Linked DNA regions of Rattus norvegicus. The protein of the gene in region 1 interacts with the protein of each later gene in a biochemical or structural test. Links are inferred from orthologs where the notes say so. Each region holds a gene or a part of one and is shown in the gene's direction. Other genes may lie near its edges.

Evidence for each region.
Region 2: of the proteins of Ube2i (region 1) and Psme3, one has a biochemical effect on the other in vitro, tested with the Homo sapiens proteins (2 studies listed by BioGRID). The link is inferred for Rattus norvegicus from reciprocal best matches to the Homo sapiens genes UBE2I and PSME3.
Region 3: of the proteins of Ube2i (region 1) and Trps1, one has a biochemical effect on the other in vitro, tested with the Homo sapiens proteins (2 studies listed by BioGRID). The link is inferred for Rattus norvegicus from reciprocal best matches to the Homo sapiens genes UBE2I and TRPS1.
Region 4: the proteins of Ube2i (region 1) and Crebbp form a complex in vitro, tested with the Homo sapiens proteins (2 studies listed by BioGRID, with this or other methods). The link is inferred for Rattus norvegicus from reciprocal best matches to the Homo sapiens genes UBE2I and CREBBP.
Region 5: the proteins of Ube2i (region 1) and Mitf form a complex in vitro, tested with the Homo sapiens proteins (2 studies listed by BioGRID). The link is inferred for Rattus norvegicus from reciprocal best matches to the Homo sapiens genes UBE2I and MITF.
Region 6: of the proteins of Ube2i (region 1) and Cftr, one has a biochemical effect on the other in vitro, tested with the Homo sapiens proteins (2 studies listed by BioGRID). The link is inferred for Rattus norvegicus from reciprocal best matches to the Homo sapiens genes UBE2I and CFTR.
Region 7: of the proteins of Ube2i (region 1) and Nr5a2, one has a biochemical effect on the other in vitro, tested with the Homo sapiens proteins (2 studies listed by BioGRID). The link is inferred for Rattus norvegicus from reciprocal best matches to the Homo sapiens genes UBE2I and NR5A2.

What each region holds. Positions count from the first base shown.
Region 1 is NC_086028.1:14,791,755-14,795,254, reverse strand, and holds part of Ube2i (SUMO-conjugating enzyme UBC9), read left to right. Parts: intron 1-1,457; coding exon of another isoform or gene 1,458-1,468; coding exon 1,469-1,534; intron 1,535-1,661; coding exon 1,662-1,745; intron 1,746-2,575; coding exon 2,576-2,648; intron 2,649-3,500. UniProt on the Homo sapiens protein: Accepts the ubiquitin-like proteins SUMO1, SUMO2, SUMO3, SUMO4 and SUMO1P1/SUMO5 from the UBLE1A-UBLE1B E1 complex and catalyzes their covalent attachment to other proteins with the help of an E3 ligase such as RANBP2, CBX4 and ZNF451.
Region 2 is NC_086028.1:86,760,933-86,763,575, forward strand, and holds part of Psme3 (proteasome activator complex subunit 3), read left to right. Parts: intron 1-417; coding exon 418-466; intron 467-837; coding exon 838-950; intron 951-1,333; coding exon 1,334-1,402; intron 1,403-1,511; coding exon 1,512-1,579; intron 1,580-1,716; coding exon 1,717-1,771; intron 1,772-1,884; coding exon 1,885-1,971; intron 1,972-2,643. UniProt on the Homo sapiens protein: Subunit of the 11S REG-gamma (also called PA28-gamma) proteasome regulator, a doughnut-shaped homoheptamer which associates with the proteasome. 11S REG-gamma activates the trypsin-like catalytic subunit of the proteasome but inhibits the chymotrypsin-like and postglutamyl-preferring (PGPH) subunits.
Region 3 is NC_086025.1:83,811,236-83,814,735, reverse strand, and holds the end of Trps1 (zinc finger transcription factor Trps1), read left to right. Parts: intron 1-1,638; coding exon 1,639-2,700; 3' UTR 2,701-3,239; downstream 3,240-3,500. UniProt on the Homo sapiens protein: Transcriptional repressor. Binds specifically to GATA sequences and represses expression of GATA-regulated genes at selected sites and stages in vertebrate development. Regulates chondrocyte proliferation and differentiation.
Region 4 is NC_086028.1:11,960,840-11,964,339, forward strand, and holds part of Crebbp (histone lysine acetyltransferase CREBBP), read left to right. Parts: intron 1-458; coding exon 459-620; intron 621-902; coding exon 903-1,184; intron 1,185-2,522; coding exon 2,523-3,500. UniProt on the Homo sapiens protein: Acetylates histones, giving a specific tag for transcriptional activation. Mediates acetylation of histone H3 at 'Lys-18' and 'Lys-27' (H3K18ac and H3K27ac, respectively).
Region 5 is NC_086022.1:131,964,337-131,968,539, forward strand, and holds the start of Mitf (microphthalmia-associated transcription factor), read left to right. Parts: upstream 1-1,403; 5' UTR 1,404-1,535; coding exon 1,536-1,639; intron 1,640-4,203. UniProt on the Homo sapiens protein: Transcription factor that acts as a master regulator of melanocyte survival and differentiation as well as melanosome biogenesis.
Region 6 is NC_086022.1:47,526,421-47,530,428, forward strand, and holds the start of Cftr (cystic fibrosis transmembrane conductance regulator), read left to right. Parts: upstream 1-1,208; 5' UTR 1,209-1,235; coding exon of another isoform or gene 1,236-1,345; coding exon 1,346-1,398; intron 1,399-4,008. UniProt on the Homo sapiens protein: Epithelial ion channel that plays an important role in the regulation of epithelial ion and water transport and fluid homeostasis. Mediates the transport of chloride ions across the cell membrane.
Region 7 is NC_086031.1:50,982,139-50,986,260, reverse strand, and holds the start of Nr5a2 (nuclear receptor subfamily 5 group A member 2), read left to right. Parts: upstream 1-1,322; 5' UTR 1,323-1,412; coding exon 1,413-1,476; intron 1,477-4,122. UniProt on the Homo sapiens protein: Orphan nuclear receptor that binds DNA as a monomer to the 5'-TCAAGGCCA-3' sequence and controls expression of target genes: regulates key biological processes, such as early embryonic development, cholesterol and bile acid synthesis pathways, as well as liver and pancreas morphogenesis.

The sequences.
Region 1 (3,500 bases):
ATGGCCGGGCAGCTGTGTAAGCTTGAGAGGCCCTGGCTAGGTCAAGAACACACAGTAATTCCTAGGGTAGTCATGGCTTTGCAGGTAAAATGGGCAGCCTGAGCTAAGTCTAAGTAGCAGGAACTCTAGGGATGTCTGCTTGAGGCCTGTCTGAGGTGGTAACAGGAGTGTGTTCTAGCAAGAATCTTGCTCTTGTCCAGAGGTAATTGAAGGTTCCACCTCAGAGTGAAGACTTTGAGCTGAAAACAAAAGACTAGGCTAGTGCTAGTCTTGCTGGGAGATTTTACCCACAAGACCAATAGAAGCCTGAAGCTGGGGTCAAAAAAGGAACCTCTGGGATTGGGGATTTAGCTCAGTGGTAGAGCGCTTGCCTAGCAAGCGCAAGGCCCTGGGTTCGGTCCCCAGCTCCAGAAAAAAAAGAGAAAAGAAAAAACGGAACCTCTGAGAAGCAATTCGGTATGAAACACCTATTGCCCTACTAGATTCTTGTTCATGAGGGGTCGTGTCCCTGTGATGCACACACCCCAAAATCCCAGTGCTCTGTAGGTTTGGGAGTCTCTGATTACTGTTTCATGTGATTTTTTTTTAAGTAATATTAAAAAGGATATAGAGGTTTAAAAAAAAAAAACCAAAAACCCAAGCAGGTGGTATCCAGGTTGGAGTCACAGTCAAAACAACAGGCTGCGGTCCTAGGTGAAGATGCTCCTTCACCCATGCTGAATGGAGTCCAAGTGTGCCAAGATGGTCCCTGGCAGAGGCTGCTGGCCTGACCTGGATCTTGCCTTCGTTCCCATAGGGTCATAGGGCAGATCTCTGAACTGTGAGCTGATAAGCTGCAGGCCGATAGTCTGGCCTCTTGGGGTAGTCTGCCTATGGAAGTTTGCCATGCTCTGCCCTATGGTGCGGACTTTTCTCACTAGTACATTTAGGAGTAGTGATTGTCCTCCTGTTGGACCTGATTCTAAGCCGGGGTCTCAGGGCCCTTGTTCCTGAACCCTCCTCTAACTCCCAGGCTAGTACTCTACCTTTGTGGTGTTTTATATGGTGCTTGGTGAACCAGCAAGACACATCCTAGCCTCAGATGAGTGTGTGAGGTACCTGCGAACCCCTACCTGTCCTGAGAGTTTGACTGTGGAGTGGGTGCTAAGTCTCGCTGATGCTCAATGCCTGCCAGGGAGGGGACAGCCTTTTTGCAGGCTATTCTCACTGTACCTCCCAGCAGTTGAGTTTGTAGAGCACAAGAGAGACAGCACTGGTGCTCTACCTGCCTGCCTGGAGGTGTTCTGAGGACTGGTCAAAAGTGCAATGCTCGCACTTGCTCCAAGGGCAGCTTGACCAGCTGGGCTCCACCTCATTTACCTGCTTCTTGGTGACAGCCCTCTCTGGCTGGGGTGGGATGTGGCTTAGAAGATGTGTGTGTGCTTTACCTAACCCTCCCTCTGTGGATTCCGTTCCAGGGACTTTGAATATGTCGGGGATTGCCCTCAGCCGACTTGCGCAGGAGAGGAAAGCCTGGAGGAAGGACCACCCTTTTGTAAGGAGCAGCCTGTGTCTGGTCACAGGAGGGGCTTTCCGTTGACTTGGTATACTCAGCCTGTGGCCACTGGGTGAGAGCCAGGCTTGTTGTCTTGAGCTGGTTTGTTTTGTGACTTCTTTCTCAGGGCTTTGTGGCTGTCCCAACAAAGAACCCTGATGGCACGATGAACCTGATGAACTGGGAGTGTGCTATCCCTGGAAAGAAGGGGGTAAGGGTGACCACTGGCTTTGTACCTACTAACTTAAGAGGTTCAAGGGAGCTGAACTACTATAGGGACCTGAGTACATGGATTTGTGACCACAGCTAGCCACAGGTCACAGCTCTCCCCAGGATAAGGAGTGGCCTGTGGGGTAGGGAGGCTTGGACCCTGGCAAATCATTGGATTGGTGACCAGCCTTGAGGTGAGGAGCTGGTGAAGGTCGTAAAGTGTCCACAGAGAGCACAGGCTGTGTTTCTTTACACACATTGACCTCAGTGCATCCAGTTGTCTACTCTTTTCCAGCCTATGTGAGAGGGAGGGTCTCCTTTAACTTCAGACATTGTCCAAACTTGGGCCTCCGGGTTCAGCTTAGTATCTGAGCAAAACCGTAGTTTGGGTTCATCTGTACAGGCTCTGTTGTGAGTGTGAGGTGGGTCTTTGACGTGCCAGGGTGTGCTTGTCTCTCAAGTCACGTTGGGGCATGGGCACTGTAGTGCTTCCATCACATGAGCTGAGAGTAGGAAAACCGTCTGGTGGCGAGTGGTGTGCTCTCCCCACCTTGATAGATCTGAGGTGCTGGCTTGAATAGTGCAGGTACGAGCTGCTGGGCTTAGCTTTTGTTTGCTGAGCTTTTTGGTGTCTCAGACACCCAAGAACTGTGGATCCTAAGCTTTCCAGCAACTGCCAAGCTCCTCATAGGCATGGTGGGGGTCTTCTTTGGTCCTAGGGGGACAGTAATAGTGTAGAGAACAGGCCCGAAGGACCCAGGTTTAAGGAAACTTCTCTTGGCTCACCTTGGCAAGTGAGCCACAGGTCTAACTCTGGTTCCTTCCCCACAGACTCCGTGGGAAGGAGGCTTGTTCAAGCTACGGATGCTTTTCAAAGATGACTATCCGTCCTCACCACCAAAATGTAAGTTGTGCAGAGAGCCGGCAGTCCACTTCCCAGTGCCACCCTTTGGGAGCCATGTCTATGGATGCTTGGTCTAGCAGACAGGTGTCAGTGCTGGGATAAAGTCAGTACTGCTGAGCCGGCTTGGATGACAAGCCAGGGTAGAGGCGCATATAATTAGAGTGGTCTCTAGTCCCAACCAATCGGGATGTACCACACGAGGCAGAGGGAGAGTTGTGTCAGGCTTAAGCTCCTGGGTGCTTTTGTGCCCACAGGTGCCACAGGGGAGTAGGAGAACAGGGGTCTGTAAGTTCCCAGTAGATTAGTTAGCATACATCAGGTGCTGAGTTCAATTCAAAGCACTAAAGGAGAGCGAAGAATCTCACTCATTCCCGTCTGTTGTGTTCTGTTGGATGCCCCACATCCCAGTAAGAGGCTGTGCTTGTGGCCTTCAGACCTGTTGTTAGAAGAGAAAGCTGAACTGATCTCAGTGCAGCACAACTTGCTTGGGTGTGCAGTGCCCACCACCACCATTCTGCCCAGGGTAAGGCCAGGTCTGAGCTGGTTTGTAAATAGAGATTTGCCTGCTGCAGGGTCCCCCAGGAGTGCTTAAACATGGCTTATTGGGAACCACTGGATGGAATCTTACCTGCTGTTTGGGATTTTCTTGTCTGTCTGAGTTCTTTTTGCCGTACTGTTGGTGATTCATTCATTCTTTCTTTCTTTCTTTTTTCTTTTTTTTTTCTTTTTTCTTTTTTTCTTTTCTTTTTTTTTTTTTCGGAGCTGGGGACTGAACCCAGGGCCTTGCGCTTGCTAGGCAAGCGCTCTACCACTGAGCCAAATCCCCAACCCTGTGATTCATTCTTTTAATTG
Region 2 (2,643 bases), about 72 Mb from region 1:
AGCCAACCTACTGACCACTTCGGCTGCTTTTTAAATGTGTTCTATTAGTGGTAACTTTGGCCTTCCCAACCAGAATGTAAGTTTCTTTTTGACGAGAACCCCTTTTAAAAACTTTATGTGTGTGTGCATTGAAATTCATATGATAGAGGGGTGGGGATTTAGCTCAGTGGTAGAGTGCTTGCCTAGCAAGCGCAAGGCCCTGGGTTCGGTCCCCAGCTCCAGAAACAACAACAACAACAACAACAAAAAAAGAAATTCATATATAATCTCTGGGGTCCAGAAAGGAATTACACTTCCTTGTACAGTATCTTGTAATGGGCATGCTTGTTGAATGCAAAAATTAAACTTGTTTGTATAGTGTCTGTGATGGGCATGTGTGTTGAATCCACACTAATTCTTGCTTCTTTATACCTTTAGCCCACTTACAAGAAGCGCAGGTTGGATGAATGTGAAGAGGCCTTCCAAGGTAAGAGCTGCTATCTAATCAGCACACTTCACCTGCTGACTAGCCGCCCTGAGATGTAGGATGGATCTGGACTTCAGGAACTGAGGTCTCATTTAATTTCCAAGGTTAACAATCAGCAAATCCTCCTGGCTCAGTCATTTAGTCTTCTGGAACGCCAAGAGGGTCTGGTTGTGTGGATACCAGGGAGGATGCTTAGAGGCCCATATTCCGTGCCTTAGTTTCCCCGTAGGAGTAATTGCTACCTGATCCATCAGGGGTGGTGTAGTCACTTAGAAGAGATTATTACATCCAGCTTAAGGGAAGAAGGAAAAGGTGGAGGCTGCTCTTACTTTTTCACTGCAGTGAACATGTGTCCTTGACATATCTTCCAGGAACCAAGGTGTTTGTGATGCCCAACGGGATGTTGAAAAGCAACCAGCAGCTTGTGGACATTATTGAGAAAGTAAAACCTGAGATTCGGCTGCTGATCGAGAAATGTAACACGGTGAGGCAGGGGTTCGTGCCCAACGAGCGCCTCTGGAACTGTGGAATGATGGGAGGGGTTGGCAGGCTAAGGCCTTTGATTCCTTTGCCCTGGCATCAGTCCCCACCAGCAAGAATCATGTACTTCGGGGGCCGGAGAGATGGCTCAGTGGTTAAGAGCATCGACTACTCTTCTAGAGGTCCTGAGTTCCCAGCAATGACATGGTGGCTCACAATCATCTATAATGAGATCTGATGCCCTCTTCTGGTGTGTGTGAAAACAGCTACCGTGTACTTATATATAATAAGTAAATACATCCTTTCTAAAAAAGAATCATGTACTTCCAAGCCTAAGTAGGAAGGACCAAGGTCCTTCTACAAGTATTTTGTCTTCTCATGCTCTAGGTCAAAATGTGGGTTCAGCTCTTGATTCCCAGGATAGAAGATGGGAACAACTTCGGGGTGTCGATTCAGGTAGTGTGCCCGCGTTGCAAACTCCGCTCCTTCCCTGCTTGCTTTCCCTTGCTCTGTGGTGCTGCAGTAGATGGTGGGGAAGTAACCTGACTCACCTGTTTATCCCCAGGAGGAAACAGTTGCAGAGCTAAGAACTGTCGAGAGTGAAGCTGCGTCTTATCTGGACCAGATTTCTAGGTAAGGTGGTTTGCGCTGGACCTAGGAACAGGGGATGGTGAAGTGGGAGGCGTGCTCAGGGTCCAGGCCCAGGAATGTGGTTGGTGAAGTGGGAGGCGTGCTCAGGGCTCCCTTCAGCTGCTTTTTTTTCCTTCCAGATATTATATTACAAGAGCCAAATTGGTTTCTAAAATAGCTAAATACCCCCATGTGGTAAGTAGGGTTTTGTGGTCTGAGGTGGGGTGGCAAGATAGAGAAGAGAGTAGGACTGAGCAGCCTGTGGGCATTTGGGCCTTGGAAGACGAGCCTCCCTACTCCCCATGCAGGAGGACTATCGCCGCACTGTCACAGAGATCGATGAGAAAGAGTACATCAGCCTCCGCCTCATCATCTCAGAGCTGAGGAATCAGTATGTGAGTACATCAGTCTCTGCCCAGAGTTGTCCTGCTTCTCATAGGCCTGTGGTGATTTCTATAAATCTGGGGTCGGAATGAAAGGAGTCCAGAGATGGTGTCTGTCTATGGTGCCATCTTAGGAGGTTGAGCAGTAGGACCCAAAATTTGAGGCTGGCCCAGGGTACAGAAATAGCTGTTTATCAGCTGGGAGTAGAGAGCATGAACCTCTGAGGGAGTCGAGTTGGGTGTGTGTGTACTAGCTAGGTGGAGGTGCTACACCACACATGGATGCTTAAGCACAGGCCTTGGTGCCAGAGGTGGCTTTACAACCAAGTTCTCCTGCGGGATTCATCTTGTTTGTCCTCAGATAAGGTCTCACTACGTATCCCTGGTTGTCCTGCAGCTCACTGTTGGTGACAGACTTTAAAGTTCCACTGACTTGGGGTTGGGGATTTAGCTCAGTGGTAGAGCGCTTGCCTAGCAAGTGCAAGGCCCTGGGTTCGGTCCCCAGCTGGGGGGGGGGGGGGGGGAGTTCCACTGACTCTGTCTCTCAGTCTCTCAAGTGATGGGATAAAAGACATCTTAATCTGCTTGATTTTTTGTTTTTGTCTGTGTGTCAGTGTATGCACATTTGAGAGTGCAGGCACCTGTGGTCAGCAGAAGAGGACATCAGATTCCCTAGAGCTGGAG
Region 3 (3,500 bases), on another chromosome or scaffold:
AATACACCGAACTTTTTTTCAAAATTATTTTAATATTCATCTCTTCAGAGGCAAGATGGTCTCAGATTTCAGGCTTTTTTTTTTATTTTACCATAAATGAAAAAACATAAAAATTGTGTGCACCCAAAAAACTACACAATTATAAAATTGTAGGGATTAATTAAATTCCAGGCTTCTTTGTGGTATGGAGACTGAATACTGAGCATTTTTTACTATGCAACATGAGTGTACGTGGCCTATGCAACCCAACTAAGATTTTCATTCTGAGTCCACTGACTTCGTCTCCAGTATCAAGTGTGCGATTTTTATTCCTACCCATATATCTAGTGGCCATAGAAATATTCTCCCAAAAGTCTTACTTGTGTTGCTTTAATATCTAAAGTACGACCTTTCGTACTGAAGTCTGAATCTTTCATGAATTATTCACAAACTAGATGTTTATATGTGCAGAAATTATCAATAATATTTTGGAAAAAATCAGACCACCTGAACATTCCCAGGAAATGGAGTCCATAAATATACATTAATTTATTATACCTACTTATTTCACTTGACAAATGAAAATTAGAGCTCTTCTGCAAGCAGAGTTCTTATACTCTTACCTCCAAGTTTTAGTCATATAATATAAATAACTATTCAACATGCACCTAGGTACCGATCATGAAATGTCTACGCTGTATGCAGTTCTTGAGCTGAATGGAAGCCCGCATTCATTTTAAGTAGACTGGGATGGGAGTTCAGGTATCTGAACCAAACATGAGAAGGAATTTATCTTTTCAACTGTTTTTCCTGTGATCAAGTAAGGAATATGCAGAGATCATTGAAACAGAAGAGTAGAATTAAGGCCAAAAACTTCCTGTGATGATTTCCTGAAATTTTTTTCTCACAGTCCTGACTTAGTCTCTGATACAAATATCATATATTTACCTTTGCAAATCTTTACAAATATGTATGTGGTAGTCAGCTTAAAGCATCATGGCAAGACACTTTAGGCTGACTGAGTGACTTATAGCAACAAAAACTGGTTTTCTCACGGTCGTTGATGGGGGATGGAAGTACGAGCCTGGAAAAGTCTGGTGAGGACTCTTCCTTAGTTCCTTAACTTCCCCTTGAGAAGACAGCTGTAGACACCATCATGCTAAGTCTTTGATACATGAACTGATCCAAGGGAGAAACACGGTTTGGTTCTTAGGATAGAGCAATGCATAGTTTTTCTTTGTTTTGGTTTTTCCTACTGCCAATACTTATCCACCAAATGACTGTGTCGAAGTATCTTTACCTAACTCCAGAGCTGATGTATTTTAGAAAAATCATTTCTTCAAATGGTTTCCTCGTACTTTTCATTAGTGGTGACAGTCCCCAAATCTCCTTAAGTCTGAAAACACTGCTTTCAAGAAAATTAAACTTTTCTGTTCCTCGGCCACACCCCTTCCAAGATGGATATTATTTATTTTTAGCTTAAGACACTACGTTTTGGTTACTTCCTCTGATCTTGCCTAGTGAGGAAAGAAGAGATTAGTAGCATAAAGGCTATCCCTGCTCTGAATTTCAGTGTGGTTGATATTTGTGAGGAATTTTCAATGCATTTAATGTATTTTTTAACGTTTCTCTTTTATGTATTGTGTGTGTTCCCTGCAGACTCCCAGGCCTTTAAACATCATTAAACAAAACAACGGCGAGCAGATTATTAGAAGACGGACAAGAAAGCGCCTTAACCCAGAGGCACTTCAGGCTGAGCAACTCAACAAACAGCAGAGGGGAAGTGGGGAGGAGCAGGTCAATGGAAGCCCCTTAGAGAGGAGGTCAGAAGATCACTTAAGTGAAAGTCATCAGAGAGAAATTCCACTTCCGAGCCTGAGTAAATACGAAGCCCAGGGTTCATTGACTAAAAGCCATTCTGCTCAACAGCCGGTCCTGGTCAGCCAAACTCTGGATATTCACAAAAGGATGCAGCCTTTGCACATTCAGATAAAAAGTCCTCAGGAAAGTACTGGAGATCCAGGAAACAGTTCATCCGTATCTGATGGGAAAGGAAGTTCTGAAAGAGGCAGCCCCATAGAAAAGTACATGAGGCCTGCAAAACACCCCAACTATTCTCCACCAGGCAGCCCCATCGAAAAGTACCAATACCCACTTTTTGGAGTTCCTTTTGTACATAATGACTTCCAGAGTGAAGCTGATTGGCTACGGTTCTGGAGTAAATATAAGCTCTCTGTTCCTGGGAATCCGCACTACTTGAGTCATGTGCCTGGCTTACCAAATCCTTGCCAAAACTATGTGCCTTATCCCACCTTCAATCTGCCTCCTCATTTCTCAGCTGTTGGATCAGACAATGACATTCCTCTAGATTTGGCGATCAAGCATTCCAGACCTGGGCCAACTGCAAATGGTGCCGCCAAGGAGAAAAGCAAGGCACCATCAAACGTAAAAAATGAAGGTCCCTTGAATGTAGTTAAGACGGAGAAAGTTGACAGAAGCACTCAAGATGAACTTTCAACGAAATGTGTGCACTGTGGCATTGTTTTCCTGGATGAAGTGATGTATGCTTTGCATATGAGTTGCCATGGTGACAGTGGACCTTTCCAGTGCAGCATATGCCAGCATCTTTGCACGGACAAATATGACTTCACAACACATATCCAGAGGGGCCTGCATAGGAACAATGCACAAGCAGAAAAAAATGGAAAACCTAAAGAGTAAAACCTTAGCACTTAGCACAATTAAATAGAAATAGGTTTTCTTGATGGGAATTCAATAGCTTGTAATGTCTTATGAAGACTTATTAAAAAAATAATTCATAGAGCCTGCCTTACCCAACATGAAATTCCCTTTTTCTTAATTTCTTTCTTTTGATGAGTAGGTTACCAAGATTTTAAAATGAAACATATGGTCAGTGAGAAAGAATGGAATTGATAGATAATTTTTTAAAAAAAAAAAAGGAGAACTAGAGTGAAAATGATCTTACCTAATGTGTACTGCTGAATCTCTGTACAGAGGCCCAACCAAATTATAGCCATTTGTTTGTAAAGATACAAATGCTCTCTATTGTTTGAAGGAGTTTACATACTATCATGTGACAGCAGTATTAGGCTGGCTATTGGCCCATCCATTCAGATTAGGTTGCCTACAACTTAAAATATCATGAGATCTCAGCCAAAGGAGGAGAAAAAAAAATCTCCAGGGCAATGGAAGAAAAAATGGCACCTCTCAAAGTAGGCTCCTCTCATTGACCATGTTTCAGATTTAGACCTCAAAATGTGAACTGGTTAGGCTTGTTGAGCGAGCAGTAAGAATCGTGACAGTTGGTGGCACAATGCTTTTTGGCCAGCCCTGCCTGTACACACACATGCACACCCTCCTTGATACTTTCGTCCTTTAGATGCTCCAGTACTTGGTAGTCATTTGTTTTACAGTTTAGATCCATTTTGTTTCAAATCTATCCACTCTTAAAACAATGTCCTTAGTGCTTTAGGTAGTAATTTTTTTTGCCAGATATTTCT
Region 4 (3,500 bases), about 2.8 Mb from region 1:
GTCCCTTTTTGACCTCAGCTAAGTAGTAAAAGTAGTAGCAGTAGCTTGTAAGACAAGCTTACACATGTTCTACCCTAGTGGAGGTATTGAATAGGAAAGATCAGTTGGGTGTAGTTACTCTTTGGTGCTCCCATTTACACCATCCCATGTCTTCTGAAAATTCATATAAATGAGCAGGTTTTCCCAAAGCAAAGGACTGGGTACCGAACATGCAGGATGGAGCATAGCACTCCTGCCAGTGGAATCCTGGGAGTGGTAGAGAAACTCCTCTGTTGCTTAGATTGTGAATTAACATCCAGGAGAAGTAACCGGACATACAAGTGCCCTGGCCAGGCTGGGAGGATTTCATCCTTAGCCCTCTGGAGGTAGTAGCCTATGGCCCAGGTGCATATGAGGTCTGTGGAACCCCATAGCCGAGGAAATGGGTGTTAGTCTAATAGCTTTATATGTGGTTGCAGGGCAGTCAGGGTGACAGCAAGAATGCCAAGAAAAAGAACAACAAGAAGACCAACAAAAACAAAAGCAGCATTAGCCGCGCCAACAAGAAGAAGCCCAGCATGCCCAATGTTTCCAACGACCTGTCGCAGAAGCTGTATGCTACCATGGAGAAGCACAAGGAGGTAGTGCATAGGCTGGTGGGGGTTCTGAGGGTATTCAGTGCCCAGAGAAACAACAGGCACCTGCCTGCGAGGTTGAGCTTTTCTGTATAAGTCTGGGACAGGAGAAGGTGGAACAATACTTGTTAATATATTGTTTGGCTTGTTATCAGTTAAATTCCATCCCAGGAAACCAGAGCCTCAAGCAGTCCCTAGGTTTGGTTATCCTCCTGTTCCATAGGAAGATGTGGCCTTGCACTGGCACACACTGCTTCTCTGTGGGGATAATACAGCTCCTCCTTTCAGGTCTTCTTTGTGATCCACCTGCATGCTGGGCCTGTCATCAGCACTCAGCCCCCCATCGTGGACCCTGATCCCCTGCTTAGCTGTGACCTCATGGACGGGCGGGATGCCTTCCTCACCCTGGCCAGAGACAAGCACTGGGAGTTCTCTTCCTTACGCCGCTCCAAATGGTCCACTCTGTGCATGCTGGTGGAGCTGCACACACAGGGCCAGGACCGCTTTGTCTATACCTGCAACGAGTGCAAACACCATGTAGAAACACGCTGGCACTGCACTGTGTGTGAGGTAAGCCCTTCCACCTCTCTCCTGGCCTTCCTCCATATGCAACATTGTTCCCTGCAGCATCGGGAATGGATGCAGGTGTTGGCCTCTGTGACCTACATTGTCTGTGCTAACCCTCCCAGGGTGAGGAGTGGCACCCTTGTAATCCCTTTCTTAATCTCTGCTCTTGTCCACCACAGCTACAGGCTATATGCCGAGGCAGCCTGACTGGAAAGAGGCTATGCAAAACTTTAGCTCTACAGGGATTCTGGTGTATTTATCTCTTTCTAGCTTTGCTAAGTGATTAAGGATGCCTTTCACCCTGCTGACAGGTTGGCACTTTTGATTAGGTCCAATGGCAGGATCGCAGAATGTGGTTAGAAGACTTGATGTAAGCCACTGGCAGTTTCACTGCCTCCTGCCCTGTGGGTAGCTTGACTTCACCCTTGTAGAGCTTGTCTTGGACAGGTCAAAGGTTGCTTAGCCCTTCTTCTTTGCTTACCTTTTCAGTTCCTGCCCCCTGTTGTCATCGGCCATATCCCCTCTTATCCTTCTCTATTGTCCGTTTTATAGACAGATAGACTGGCAGGCAGGCAGACAGACAGACACGCACACGCACACGCACAAACACACCCACACCCCTACCCTCTCAATCCTCTTTCTGCTTTACTGATTTTAGGATTTTGTATGTGCTTTCTGTGAGCACAATTTCTAGGCCCAGCCATAGGACGTCATCTTCAAATGTGTATTCTGTGGGTGGGTGTGAGTGTGTTATTTGTAAGTAAACATATTTGTGTATATGAATACAGAGACCAGTGGAGAATTACTCTATAGCTCTTTACCTACCTCATTTCCTTAAGAAAAGAAATGCCACTGAATCTTGAGCTAGGCTGATTGACTGACCAGCGATCCCAGCAGTCCTCTTCGTTCCTCCTTGTCTTGTGCTGCCATTAAAGCTCACAGCCATACCCAGATTTTTGTTTGAATGCTGAGGATTGAGACTCAGGTCCTCTTCCCCACTGAACTATCTCCTAAGCTCCTATCCTTTGGATTTAATGCTTCCTTTTTAGTTTCTACGTTGAAGTATCTCTCAGCCACCAGGGCTTCTGTTGTTGAGGAAGGATCATTTTGATGATGCCTCTCTCCGAGGGATAGTGTCTCACAGTCCACTAACAGTGCTTGGGGGAAATGACCCTAGTGTTCTTAATCCTTGCTGTTAAGTCTAAAGCACATGAAATAAAGAAGGAAGGTAATCGTTAATAACTGGATCAATCATTAATTGGTCCTACAATATGCCCCATGCCTAAGGGTGTCTGCTCGTGCTGTGCCTGTGCTAATGCGGTTTGTTCCTCTTGTCCACAGGACTATGACCTTTGTATCAATTGCTACAACACAAAGAGCCACACCCATAAGATGGTGAAGTGGGGGCTAGGCCTAGATGATGAGGGCAGCAGTCAGGGTGAGCCACAGTCCAAGAGCCCCCAGGAATCCCGGCGTCTCAGCATCCAACGCTGCATCCAGTCCCTGGTGCATGCCTGCCAGTGTCGCAATGCCAACTGCTCGCTGCCATCTTGCCAGAAGATGAAGCGAGTCGTGCAGCACACCAAGGGCTGCAAGCGCAAGACTAATGGAGGCTGCCCAGTGTGTAAGCAGCTCATTGCTCTTTGCTGCTACCACGCCAAACACTGCCAAGAAAATAAATGCCCTGTGCCCTTCTGCCTCAACATCAAACACAAGCTCCGCCAGCAGCAGATCCAGCATCGCCTGCAGCAGGCTCAGCTCATGCGCCGGCGAATGGCAACCATGAACACCCGCAATGTGCCTCAGCAGAGTTTGCCTTCTCCTACCTCAGCACCACCCGGGACTCCTACACAGCAGCCCAGCACACCCCAAACACCACAGCCCCCAGCCCAGCCTCAGCCTTCACCTGTAAACATGTCACCAGCTGGCTTCCCCAGTGTAGCCCGGACTCAGCCCCCCACAATAGTGTCTGCTGGGAAGCCTACCAACCAGGTGCCAGCTCCCCCACCCCCTGCCCAGCCCCCACCTGCAGCAGTGGAAGCAGCCAGGCAAATTGAACGTGAGGCCCAGCAGCAGCAGCACCTGTACCGAGCAAACATCAACAATGGCATGCCCCCAGGGCGTGCAGGTATGGGGACCCCAGGAAGCCAGATGGCTCCTGTGGGCCTGAATGTGCCCCGTCCCAACCAAGTCAGTGGGCCTGTCATGTCTAGCATGCCACCTGGGCAGTGGCAGCAGGCACCCATCCCTCAGCAGCAGCCGATGCCAGGCATGCCCAGGCCTGTAATGTCCATGCAGGCCCAGGCAGCGGTGGCTGGG
Region 5 (4,203 bases), on another chromosome or scaffold:
TTATATTTTCTGAAAGTGAAAATACACAGAAGAGGTGAGAATTTGCAAAGAATGTCTTCAAGATAGCCGAAAGAAAGCCAAGATTAATAGTCATTGAATAGCTTTTAACAAGTTCTATGCATGTATTATGTGTGTCTGCTGCATGTGCATGTGTGTGGGCACCTGCATTTGTCTGTTAGAAGTTGGCTTTCAGGAGTTAACAGTTCCCTACTTTCGTCACGAGTGTCCTGAGGATCAATTGCAGGTTGTGTTTGCAAATAAACACATTTTACTGGCTGAACCATTTTGCCTGCCCCCAGTGCATATAAATTGCAAGTAATTTTTTTTCTTACTTTTGACCTTGCAACACCATCTCAAACAGGTTTCCTAATCTCTTCTTTCATAGATGAGGAAATTAAGGTTTCTAGGAATGAAACAGACATGTCTAAGATTGCACAGGATTTCCTAGAACAACTGGGGATTTCTACCATCTTAAAATGCCACCCTTAACACCGATATCTCAAAGCATTCGTTGTTGTTTATACACGATGAAGAGTCCTGCTGGAACTAACCAGAAGACAGGTCTGGACATACAAATGAACCAAAGTGCAGCCATTTAATAATCACCTAACCGAGTGCCTCGAAGCTGCACCGGCATGCAATGTTAGGACAATCTCATTTGAACTCCCAGCCAACTGAGAAATTGAAAGCAGACGGTGGTGAGCTGTTTGGTTACTTGGTGCCTTTTAAAATTAACTGAATCTTTCAAGTGCTGCTTTAGATTAGAGGTGACTAATTGGATAAAAGGAAAGAAGCCTTTCAACGGATGAAGAGTATTCTGGGAGCCCAGAAGGAGTTCCAGAAAAGGAAGGCACAAGAACAACTCCTCCAATAACGCTTTCATTATAAAAGTGAAGTTTCCAACACTCTGTTCCAATTGAGGACAAAATGATGTGTCGCTGCAGCCCAGAAGAGCTCGGGGGCGAATAGAAAGCACTTTTATTTTTAAAATGGGCTTTAACTCTGACCGAAACTTTCTAGCGTCAAAACCCCTTAGTGTTTTATTTTTTTGAATGAACGCTCCGAGTGTCTTCGCAGATGTCTAAACCAGGAGGGACAGTAGAAGCCCAGACTGAGTCCGTTCTTATTAATATTAAACAGCCAGGTCTGTATCCTTGAGGCAAACGGGAGAGACACGGAGAGGAGCTGCTGACATTGACAAGGAATCCAAACAGGACTTGCACTATCGGTGTACACCACGTTGCCTCTCCCCGGTTTGGCCTTCTGGGAATTGTAGTTTTGCGGAAGCTGATATCCTGGAGAGCTGGTATGCTGGGCCTGGGCAGAACCACAAATCCCAGAGCGCACCGGGCCCGGCCCCTCCCGCCCTGGTGTGAGAGTAAACTCACCGCGCCGGGGCGGGCAGCGGGCTAGCGGGCTGAGTGGGGCACTGAGCGGGGCGCGCGTCTTGGGGTACCCGAGGCCCTCCCCATCTTTGTCAGGTGCCCGGGTTCTGGTCCAAGTCCCAAGCAGTGGAAGGCGGGCAAGCAGGAGTCATGCAGTCTGAATCGGGAATCGTGGCGGATTTCGAAGTCGGGGAGGAGTTTCACGAAGAACCCAAAACCTATTACGAACTCAAAAGTCAACCTCTGAAGAGCAGGTGAGTGGTGACAGCTGGAGGGAGGCGCGGCAGGAGGCCCAAGGGCCCGGCGCCTGCTACCCTGGGAGGAGAACAGCCAGTCTGGATAGCTCTGGGACAAGGACCCCGTGCCCTTGCTTGGGGTACAGGGCGACCTAGCCCCTGGCATTTAGGGTCCTGCTCACAGATGACTTGCTCGCATCCCAGGTTATCTGACAGTGGCACTCTTGGGACACCGTGAGTCTCTTGGGATGGGTCATCCAGGCTTGGGGACCCTTGACTGCAGATGCCAGCTGCTGAGCTGGATGGGGGCTGGGGCGGTACCCGGCGCGAGGTGGGGTAGGAGGAGCACCGGACAGGGACGGTGATCTGGTGCTACCAGGAGTAATTTTTCTGAAGATCCTAAGCAGGCTGATGGGCTCCGAGAGGGAGAGCCTGGGGTGGATGGAGATCTGATGCTTCAGGGTAGCAATGAACTGGCCTTCCCTTGTAGTCTAGCCCCCCTGGGACATACTACTTAGAGAGACCTCTAAGTGAAGTTCACCTGGCTTTTACCTTCCACCTCCCACAGAACAGCACCCGCGCCCTGGGCGGGAGGTAGTGTGTGTGGGGTGGATGGGGGGTGGGGGGGGAGGTTGCGGGTGGGCGTGTCTCCCCATTCTTCCTTGCAAATGCTAAAGGAAGGGAGGGAGCAATTAAGCTATCTTAGAGGCCTGTGGTGGTTGGGAATGATCTCCTTGGCAGCTACACACATTTAATTCTCCAGGTGCTTCAAGAACTTTGGGCTTGGAGTGAAGATGCTCTCTAGTCTGGTGCCTCCTAACAGTCAGTACCTCTGCAGAATTGTTATCCCTCACACCACCCTTCATTGCTACTTGTCTGGCAGAATTGGTTATAACTCTCCTTGGTCACTCTGGACCCTTGAAGCCCTTTTTATTTGTAATGTTTATGGAGGGAGGGGGTAGTCACTGGAATCTGTGACTTTGTTTCTACCCTTTCGGTTGTGAGATGAAGTAAGGCTAACCCAGGAAGCATCATCACCTCGACTGTCTAGGGTCTGGATGAGTGAGGTCTCCACTTCCTACCTGGCAAAGGGGCGGAGGGCCTCCCTTTCAGGAGCCAGGGAGGCAGAAGTGAGGGGCAGAATCCTTGCTTTGGGAGAGAAGGAAGCTGAGTCTTAACTGCTGGAGAGTGGAGCCAGGTTCCTTTCCTTCGGGGCTGGGGCAGGACCTTGAATCCAGTAATGGGAACAAACTCTGGGAAGAGTTTGCTCTTGCTCGAGCAGGCTTTTTGTACATGCTTGTGGCAGAGTGGAAGGAAATGTGTTAGGCATCAAGATGCATAAACTCAGCCTTTCACTAGTGGCTTCTTTTCATAAAGGCTATTTGTATGTGACCGTAGATGGGGTGTATTGGGTGCTCTGAGTGACACTGTGTAAGGCGTATTGTTGGTTATGCTCACTAGAGCTTTATCTGCATGTGGCTGAAGGGACCAGTGTTTTACTGAGCAGTCCCTGCTTTTGCTTCTATAAGCAAATGCTTACAAGGCCAGAATGAGGGGGAGTGTGTGTGTGTGTGTGTGTGTGTGTGTGTGTGTGTGTGTGTGTTGCTGAAAGAAATGAATTAACTGTGCTGTTCGAATCATTTGGATGGTGGCTGTTACATTAAATGAGTTTTAGGGAGTGAGGAAAGTACCTTTGGGGAAAACCAACGAGTGCCCTGACACTCACGTAGAAGGATTTGGTTCTATTCTTTCTCACAGTCAGCAAGAATGGCACACAAGAGCACGTGTCCTCTGGAGCTAGCTAGCTAGCACAGAAGGAAAAATGTGGGGATGTGGGCATAAACAGCTTCACACGTTAGTACGAGCAGCAGGTGCCAGGTATGCTCTTTGAAATCGACCCATTAAATAAAATCTGTGAATAATTTTCTGGAGAGGGTGACATATTGTTTTTGACCGTTGTCCTAATGATATTACCATTGACATTTGTTGTGTGACTTTAAATGCAGTTCAGGGCCTTCTCATTGCTTGCAATTGAAGTCTACTGGGGAACCCTTAAAGTCCTGGTTGGAAAAAGGTTGTAATGAAAACTTGCAGATTCTCAAAACAAGGACATCCCACTGTATTGTCTCCATCAGCAATTCTCAACCTGCGGGTCGTGACCCCTGTGGGGGCTGTTGTATGACCCTTTCACAGGGGTCGAATATCAGCTATCCTGCATAATCAGATATTTACATTTATGACTCAAGGCAGTAGCAAAATTACAGTTATGAAGTAGCAACAAAAGTAATTTTATGGTTGGGGGTCACCAGAACATGAGGAACTGTATTAAAGGGTTGCAACATTAGGAAGGTCGAGAACCACTGGTATAGATTGTTTCAGGATTCACCCATTTCTTGCCTATTTCTCTGCTCTGACTTTGACCAAGTCAGTGTCAGTTTTTGCCTGAGTTATTGCAGCAATCTCTTAGCTCTCTCAACGTTGGCCCGTTTTAGTACCTTTTAAATTTAGCGCCCAGCGTTCTTATTAAACTGATTTTTTTCTTTTTTAAGGCTGAGACCTGACTCAGTAACTTGTGTGCTTGC
Region 6 (4,008 bases), on another chromosome or scaffold:
ACTCAGAGTCCCTTTCAGTGTCTTAGTCAAGATATTTTGCTTAACAAAACTAGGGGGAAATGAGAGGAGGGTCATTTAGTTTAGACTCCTCTTGTCATTCTCTAGCACACACATAAAAGCCTTCTGAAGGTGAAATACCACACCACACTGAGCAGGTCCTGAGTGAGAAGTGGTAAAGGAGTAGCTCCCTTTGTCCTTGAGGACTTTGATATGTCAAGTTATGACATATCAGGGCATTGTGACATATATGTATGATACACATGTAGCTCATACGGGAAAGTAGTGGCTTCCCTTTCCTTGGTAGGACTTTTGCTGTAATTGTGACATATCAGGGAATTGTGACATATGTGCGTGTCACCTCATAGGTGTTTGTGCCACTTTGTCTACTCTGGAGCCTTCAGTCAACAGAGCTTAGGTCTCGTCCAGCTCTTGAAGGGCTTACTGAGGTGGAACTTTGCAGCTTCTTGAGTGCTCTTTGATACCAAAGAGCCACATTTTCCTCTCCTTTCCAAAATGGATCTGGAAAAGTTAACTGGAGGAGGAGGGGGAAGAAAGGAGGAAGAAAGAGAAGAAAAAGGAGAGCAAAGTGAAGGGAAAGATTCAGTTGGAGAAGGAAGAGAAAGAGAGGAAGGGGGAGAAAGAGAGGAGGGAGGAGAAAGAGAGGAAGGCAGGGGAGCAGTGGGAAGAGAAGAGGGAGGAAGAGGACAAAGAGATCAAGGAGGACAAAGAGAAGGAGAGAGAGAAAGAGATAGAGAAAAAAGTGAAGGAGGAGAAAGAGGAGGAGAGGGGAAGGAGGAGAAGGAGGGAGAGGAGAGAGAGGGACAAGGAGAAGGAAGAGAAAGGTTCCGGGAAGCTAAGGGAATCAGTGACTGGTCTTTATTCCTAAGTAAGAAGGATTCTAAGTCCCGCAGATTGGCCATGGTTTACCCGGGCCCGCTGTCTGAGCCACTGCTGGGGCCACCATGTGAAGGTAGGCACGAGGGGGGCGCTGGAGGGCGGGCGCGGATAATAAAGGCCAAGGTAAAGGAGGCGCGGGCCAGGAGGCGCGGGCGCGCTGGAGGAAGGAGCGCTGGCCCGGGGCGGACGCGGGGCGTGGAGAGCAGTGACTGTGAGGCTGGGCTAGGCAGTGCTGACTTTAACCTGGGCTGCGGAGGCGGGGGAAGAAGGCTAAGGAAGGGGAGGTGTGTGGGACCGGAGTGGGTGGGGGGAATTGGAAGCAAATGACATCACCTCAGGACTGAGTAAAAGGGAAGAGCCAAAAGCATTGAACGGGTCCTGGATATCCAGAAGTCGAGTCCAACCTGAACCTGTCCGGACACAGACCTTAGTGCACCACGGAGACATCATGCAGAAGTCGCCTCTGGAGAAAGCCAGCTTTATCTCCAAACTCTTCTTCAGGTGAGAGGGTGCCCAGAGGATCTTTCAGGGACACGTGTGCCCATGCCAGAGAAGGGAATAAATACGGGCAGACTTTGGGAAAACAGGAAGAGATTTTTGTTGAGTTTTGTTTTGCTTTAAAGGTGTGTTGTCATTCATTGCTTTAAAGGAACTATGTATTTTGTAGAATGAAATAAAACTGATGGAACAGAGAACAAATATATATTTGCACCTGGAATCAGACTTGCAACAGCCAAATATGCAACAGAGCAATAGATTTTTTTAAATTTCCTGAAAACAGTTATACATCATAAATGTACTTAATAAAACATTAAGATTGGTCCATTGTTTTCTCCCAGAAAAGTTTGTCTGCAGGTGGCGCGCCTGTATATAATAGGTGTTTGGAAAACGTTTATTGACTCAGGTTTTTAAAAATCAAGGAATTATACTTACTTTTGCTGTTATAATATTGAGTAAGACTAACATGCTTAGTACAGTTACAGTATTCTTCTTTAAGAATGAGCAAGTCAGTTAAAATACCTAACTTTAGAAAGAAATACTGTAAGCAATGCATTTGAAAATTCAGTTACTCTGGGGATATGAGACTAGGGTTCTAGCCACTGACGCTATATTCAATTGATACTTAGGAGATTGTTCTCTTATCCTACCAAAAAAAATTAGAATCGAAGTTGGAAGACCTAGGCAAGTATTAAGCACTTTGTATATGAGGTACTCTGTGGAGCTTCTTGTACTCAGTCATGTAGTGTGAATGAATGAAGAGAACAGCTCTCTCATGGGTCCTTAGCTGGCTCAACCCCACCCCCAGTGAATCAGCACACTAAAGTATCATAAATGTGGAATATGTTCTAAATGTGCCCTGTGGTGTGGGTACGAGGCAAGGCTCAGCCTTCAGTCCTTTTTCTGCAGGTCTAGAGCTCAGGACTGAGGGGAGGCAAGTGCTTCTACAGGAGAGCTCCTCCCAGTGGATGGGAGAGAAGGTCCCTCTTTACTCTTTAGAGTGGATATTTGTAGTGCCTTTTCTTACTTCGTCTATAAATTTAGCTTATCAGCCTGGATCTAATTTCTTACTACTTACAATATCAGATTGTCAATTGACATAAACTTTAGACTTTCACCAGAGCTTATTGAGGAACTTAAATGTCAATCTGCCTGAAAAGGCAAGTTTTCTGAAGAATGAATATCTCTTGTGTGTTTCCCCCACTAAGTATTAAGAAACTTCAAAATTTTTCACTTATCAAAGTGTTTCAAAAATTTCCCGTTTTTATAATCCACCTAATACATTTTAGTGTGCTTTACAAATGTTCTTAGGCAGATTTGGAAAGGAAATGTATTATAATGGCTGTGAAATTTGTTAAGAACATACTCATTTCTGTTCTCCAAATGATTTCATAATCAGTTGCTTTAAGAATAGGTGTGTTTTTAAGAGTTTAGTTCCTCCTATTTATAGGAGCTGACATTTAGCTAAGTACCAGTCAGTGATTATAAACTTCCTTCTGGACTATACTTTTCAAAGGGTGAAAACCTTTTCTCCACTGGATTAGGCAGTGTGCTTAGTGTCCAGGGCAGTGGGCTCTGGAAACTTTGCATTTTCATATAGCTTTAAGAAAAAGATCATGCCTGTTGTGTATCTGTTAGCATATGCATGTGTGCGTACACACATGAACATGCACATGCACATGCACATGCTTGCTTTTATGCCCACAGAGTGCAGTATAAGATATCCTCAGAAGAGCCATCATCTCCTTTGAGACATGTCTCTCATTGGCCTGAATTTCACCAGTTGTTAGACAAACTTGTCAGCGAACCCAAGGAGTGTTACTGTCTTTGCCTTGGCAGCAATGAGATTGTAATCATGTGTCGTCACCTTGCCCACCTTCTCATATGTGTGCTTGGGATTGAACTCAGCTTTTCATACTTGGGAAGCATGTTACTTTACTGACTGAGCTATAAACAGTTTCAACAAGTTAGGTAGCAACATTTCCATTCTCTTTCTGATCCATGCACAGACACTATCTTACGTTTGCTAAGACTTAGGTTATCCAAATCCAAAGGCCACTTTTGATATACTGAGGATATGGTATTTAGAAAACTCAGGATAGCTGTCCGTTTAGTTGATGGATGCCATCCAGTGGCTACAGCTCCAGAGTTCCATGCTATCATTTGGCTTTTCTTTGATAGAATTGGAAGAATCCACATCTAGGATGGAGACCCTCTGTTTCGACAGTGGGCAAGCACTGCCCAATGTTAGCTCTGTACCAGTCCCTTAGGACTCCTGTTTATTTTTCACTGATCATGTTTGAATATTACAAAGCTTAGAATTTTCAACTTGGGATTTATGTTAGGTTTTTGTTAATTTTGTTTAGTTTAATGCACAGTTCTAAGAGTACCACTTGTACACAACATGATGAAATTGTCATTTTGTGTATGTAGTATATATGGGTGTGTATGTGTAATAAATATCCCTATACAGTGAAATTTATTTTAGTTGATATCACAATTATTAAAATCTCTTCCAAGGTTTTATAGCACGTTAATACACAATATACTTTTAATAGTCAATCCATTGCTCCTCAGAGCAGAGGAAGCTATAATTATTTTAAAATAACTTCA
Region 7 (4,122 bases), on another chromosome or scaffold:
GGCAAGCGTTCTACCACTGAGCTAAATCCCCAACCCCTTCCACTCTTTATTTAGCTATGCTGAGTTCCTCCATTTTAGCTTCTAGAATAGTAAACACTAATAGATCTGTTATATGAACAGTGATGTTTCAGAGTCCTAAATAATTTTTAAGAAAAAGGCTGCTTTGCAGACTTCTGTGTCCTTTAAAATATACACAGGGAGATTTCTGGCATATCACACTGTTGTTTGGTTGTTCAAAGAAATAACAGCAAAGACATAACTGACAAGATTTGACATCCTATGATCTTTTAAAAATCCCTTGAATCTCAGCACTCTGGAGACCGGGGCAGGGGGATCTTTGCATTCAAGCCCAGCCTGGTCTACAGAGTTTCAGGACCGCCAGGGCCACACAGAGAAACTCTGTTTCAGGGAAAACAAACAAAGAAAAAGCAAAACAACACCCAAAGTTGTTTTCTTGTGCACAAGCACCCAGTGTACCCTCTCCCCCTACACACACACAGGTGAGCCCCCCACAAATACACACATACTCATATATACAGAACGATATATGAAAAATGCCTATATTTACCATTTGGCCCAAATTTTACCTCAAGGTGTTTTACTTTATGGAGGTAAAGAAATTACTGTTCCAGCCCTATGACCAATACAAAAGCAAGCCAGTGCCTATCCTAGTAAACAAACGGGGTTGTTTTTGAAGGTGACTGGTCAAATGGTAAAGAAATGACCGTGAGCTTGCAAATGCTACCTGTAGAGTTTCAAAGTGTCAATCATATCTACAGTGATCACTTAAAGAATTAATGCCGGCCGCCGTTATCATCTAAGATGTATTTGCAGAGGTCAGAAGAGCAGTGTCTGTCCTTCTCCATGCCAGAAGCAAAGACATCAAAGGGCCATGTCACAAGCTACAGTGGACTTAAGGTGGTTTGGAGATTTTTATCCACTAAGTATGATCTCCTGACCCCTTGGGTTTACAACTTTCCACTCTCTGGGCTGCAGAAGAACCCCTCCTTTTCTGAGTTAATCATTTCTTTGCCATTATCTGCCCAGAGTTCTTATCTCTCTTGCTGTCACTTTATAACAGGGTCCTCTTATCAACCGGCACAGGGTCATGTGACCAGTCAAAGCCTATTGAAAGCTTCCTTTCTTGTGATTAGAAACCATCATGAAACTGGAGCCATGGTTTACAGCAGGTCACGAATGCTGGAAAAAGTACAGAGTCCAGGAGAGCATGGCTTGGGCCTTTCTGAATTCTGTTTTTTTCCCCCTTTTTTTCTTAACTTTCACTAAGGAGATGAGGGTTACGGTAGTCTGAGGCTTCCTTCCCCAGGTCACAAAATATGACAGGCTGCAACCTTCCCCACGTTCAATGATTTCTGCAGTAAGCCAAAGGACTGCCAATAATTTCGCTAAGAATGTCTGCTAGTTCGATTACTGGGGATTTTCAAGACTTTCTTAAGCATGGACTTCCAGCTATTGGTAAGTAGGAAGCCACTCTCTTAGCATCTGGCTGTTTGCGCTACTCCTGGTGGATTTGTGTTTTAATGCAGTACATTGCCTGTGGTGATTATTAAAAGCACACAATAAGCCCGCGCATAGTATCACACATTTATTTTTCTTGACATTGAAAGAAGCAAATGAATAGTTCAACACATGAATATCATTTACTGTATCTGGTGTTTGGGGATGTCATTGTATTAGATCGATGTGGCAAAAACTTAGTTTTTGGAGACATGGTTTGTGTGTAGCTCTGGCTGTCCTGGAACTCCGTTCTGTAAACCAGGCTGGCCTTAGAGATCCACCTGCCTCTGCCTCTGCCTCTGCGCCTCTCTGCCTCTCTGCCTCTGTGCCTCTCTGCCTCTGCCTCTGCCTCCCAAGTGCTGGGATTAAAGGTGCATGCCATTACTGCCCAGCAGAAAATATAGTTTTTTAATCATCTATGTCAGCCTTAATAATTTCTGATCGTTTTGAATCAACCCATGCCAAGTAAAATTTTGAACAGTTTGAAACAAGCAAATAACATCAATCAGCCATTGGTCAAAAAACTGACAGGGAGCTTCCCAGCACTGTGACATTTCAAGGTATCGGACCATAAGATGTCTCATTCATTGTAAGCCTATAGAAAAAAAAATTTTTTTTTGTTGTTTCTTGGCATTCAGGAAAAAACAAAGTCAGACTGTGACTGTGACTTGCTTTTATAGACAGAAATAACCATATATCCTCCCCATAAGTGGAATGTTTGGGCACATTCTAGGAAAGCACTCAGTCACTGGGCTACATACCTAGTCACTATGAAGCATCTTGGGATTCCTTGTTGTTGATTTTGGGGGATGAGTGAGGTTTGGGTTTTGTTTTTGATTTCCTGAGAGACAAGGGGTCTCTCTCCTGTCTCTCCATAATACCGGAACTATAGGTGTGAGCCACCATGCCTGACACACTTTTTTAAAGGATAGACATCCACACACATACATTTACACCAATATAGAGCCATAAATTTGGTGGTTTTTACCATAAATTTAGTAAATTTAGGATTACAACGCGCCCCTTCTGCTTCCTCTGGACAGGAGCCAGGGTCGACCCTTCTCCTGGGGTCCTTGCGTCTTCAGTGATCGCCAGTTCAGTCTCAGAACAGGATAATCAGGGCCCCAGCTCTGTCCCTTTCTCTGGGGGCAGCCTGCTGACTCCACCTAAGGCACTGATTGCTTTTTTTATGGTCCAGCTACGCCCTGAAGTATCAATTGAGGAAATGTTCACCAAAAAAAAAAAAAAAAAAAACGTTCTGTACTTACAAAAAAGAAAACACAGGGAAGCGAGTGCCCTGGCTCTTCAGAGGGCAGGGACACTAGAGGCTCTGTGAGCTTTGCATCCACCAAAGGCTGAGCATTTATTTCACTTTGCAACACGGCGCTGGGTGCTGGCTAGCGGGCTGGCGGCATGCAGGAGAAAAGCTTGCTCAGTGCTCACACAGGCGCAGGGCTCCCTGGGACCTGGGACCACACACGTGGTGCTCTCGCTGGGTCCCTAGCCCACCCTGGTGAATTTAAAGATGGCAAGGTAGCTAGCGGAGTGCAGACCGCAGTCGAGCCGAGCTCTTTTGACCCAGTGCACCGCAGTAGTATTTCAAAGGCTCCCCTGGTACTGAGGCCAGATGGAACTAGAACTGATAGACCTCCAAGGGGCTGCTGGGGTCATACCTCCCCAGAACCGTATGAAGGAGCCTTTCCGACCTTGACCAGCTTATACACCCAAACCTCAGGCTTGCCTAAGCCCTTCAGATCGCTAGATCTCAAAATAACCATTCAATTCTACCAAAGGGATAGGGGGAGAGAGTAGGAAAAAAAGGAAGGGAGAGAGGAGGGCGGTGAAGAAGAGGTCGTGGGGGCAGAACCTGTCACCAGCATAGTAGCTATGTAGGAGTATTTAGGCATATTTCTCCTGGTTTTATAGCCCTCTAGATAATTTGGAGAGTGTTCCCACATCTCGGTGACTGGAAAGAAACTATAGGCACCCAGATTCCCATCTGTTTACCCAGGATCACTCCGGTAGCCTTGGCAGGGCTGAGCTGTCTGAAAGCCAGGACAGTGAGACACCTTCAGACCCGGGGCTTGAAGAGGCTGAGACCATCCCTGAAGGAAAGCTGATCTTTCACTGAGTCTTTTTCCATTGCACTGGGCAGGCCCACTGAGGTGGACACCCTGCCTACCCTTGGGTAGCTACAGAGCTCAGAACCTGGGTAGTTTGGAGATGGCAAGCTACAGGCAGACTCCTGAAGAGAGGAGTTGAGGTTTCCAACACCCAGCTCTGCTTAGCTGTTTTAAGTGTTTGAGACTTGAACCACGAAGCCAGGGAGCTAGAAAAGACTCCTGGTGCAACAAATTCTGGCTTCAGTCCTTGATTTGACTCCTCTGCCTGGCCCATTGACCAAGATGATCTGAATTCAGTCATGAACTCTCTTTAAGCGTCAGACTGACCCTTTTGCTCCACAGCCCCAACCCCCACCCACATGTTCCTACTTCTCAGTCTGACCCTCCATTGCTCTTTACCCAATAGGAAGGAAAACTTCTCTGGGAGAGTCATTTGGCTTCAGGGGAATTCAAGAGTTGGGGGAGACATGGTCCTCCTGGG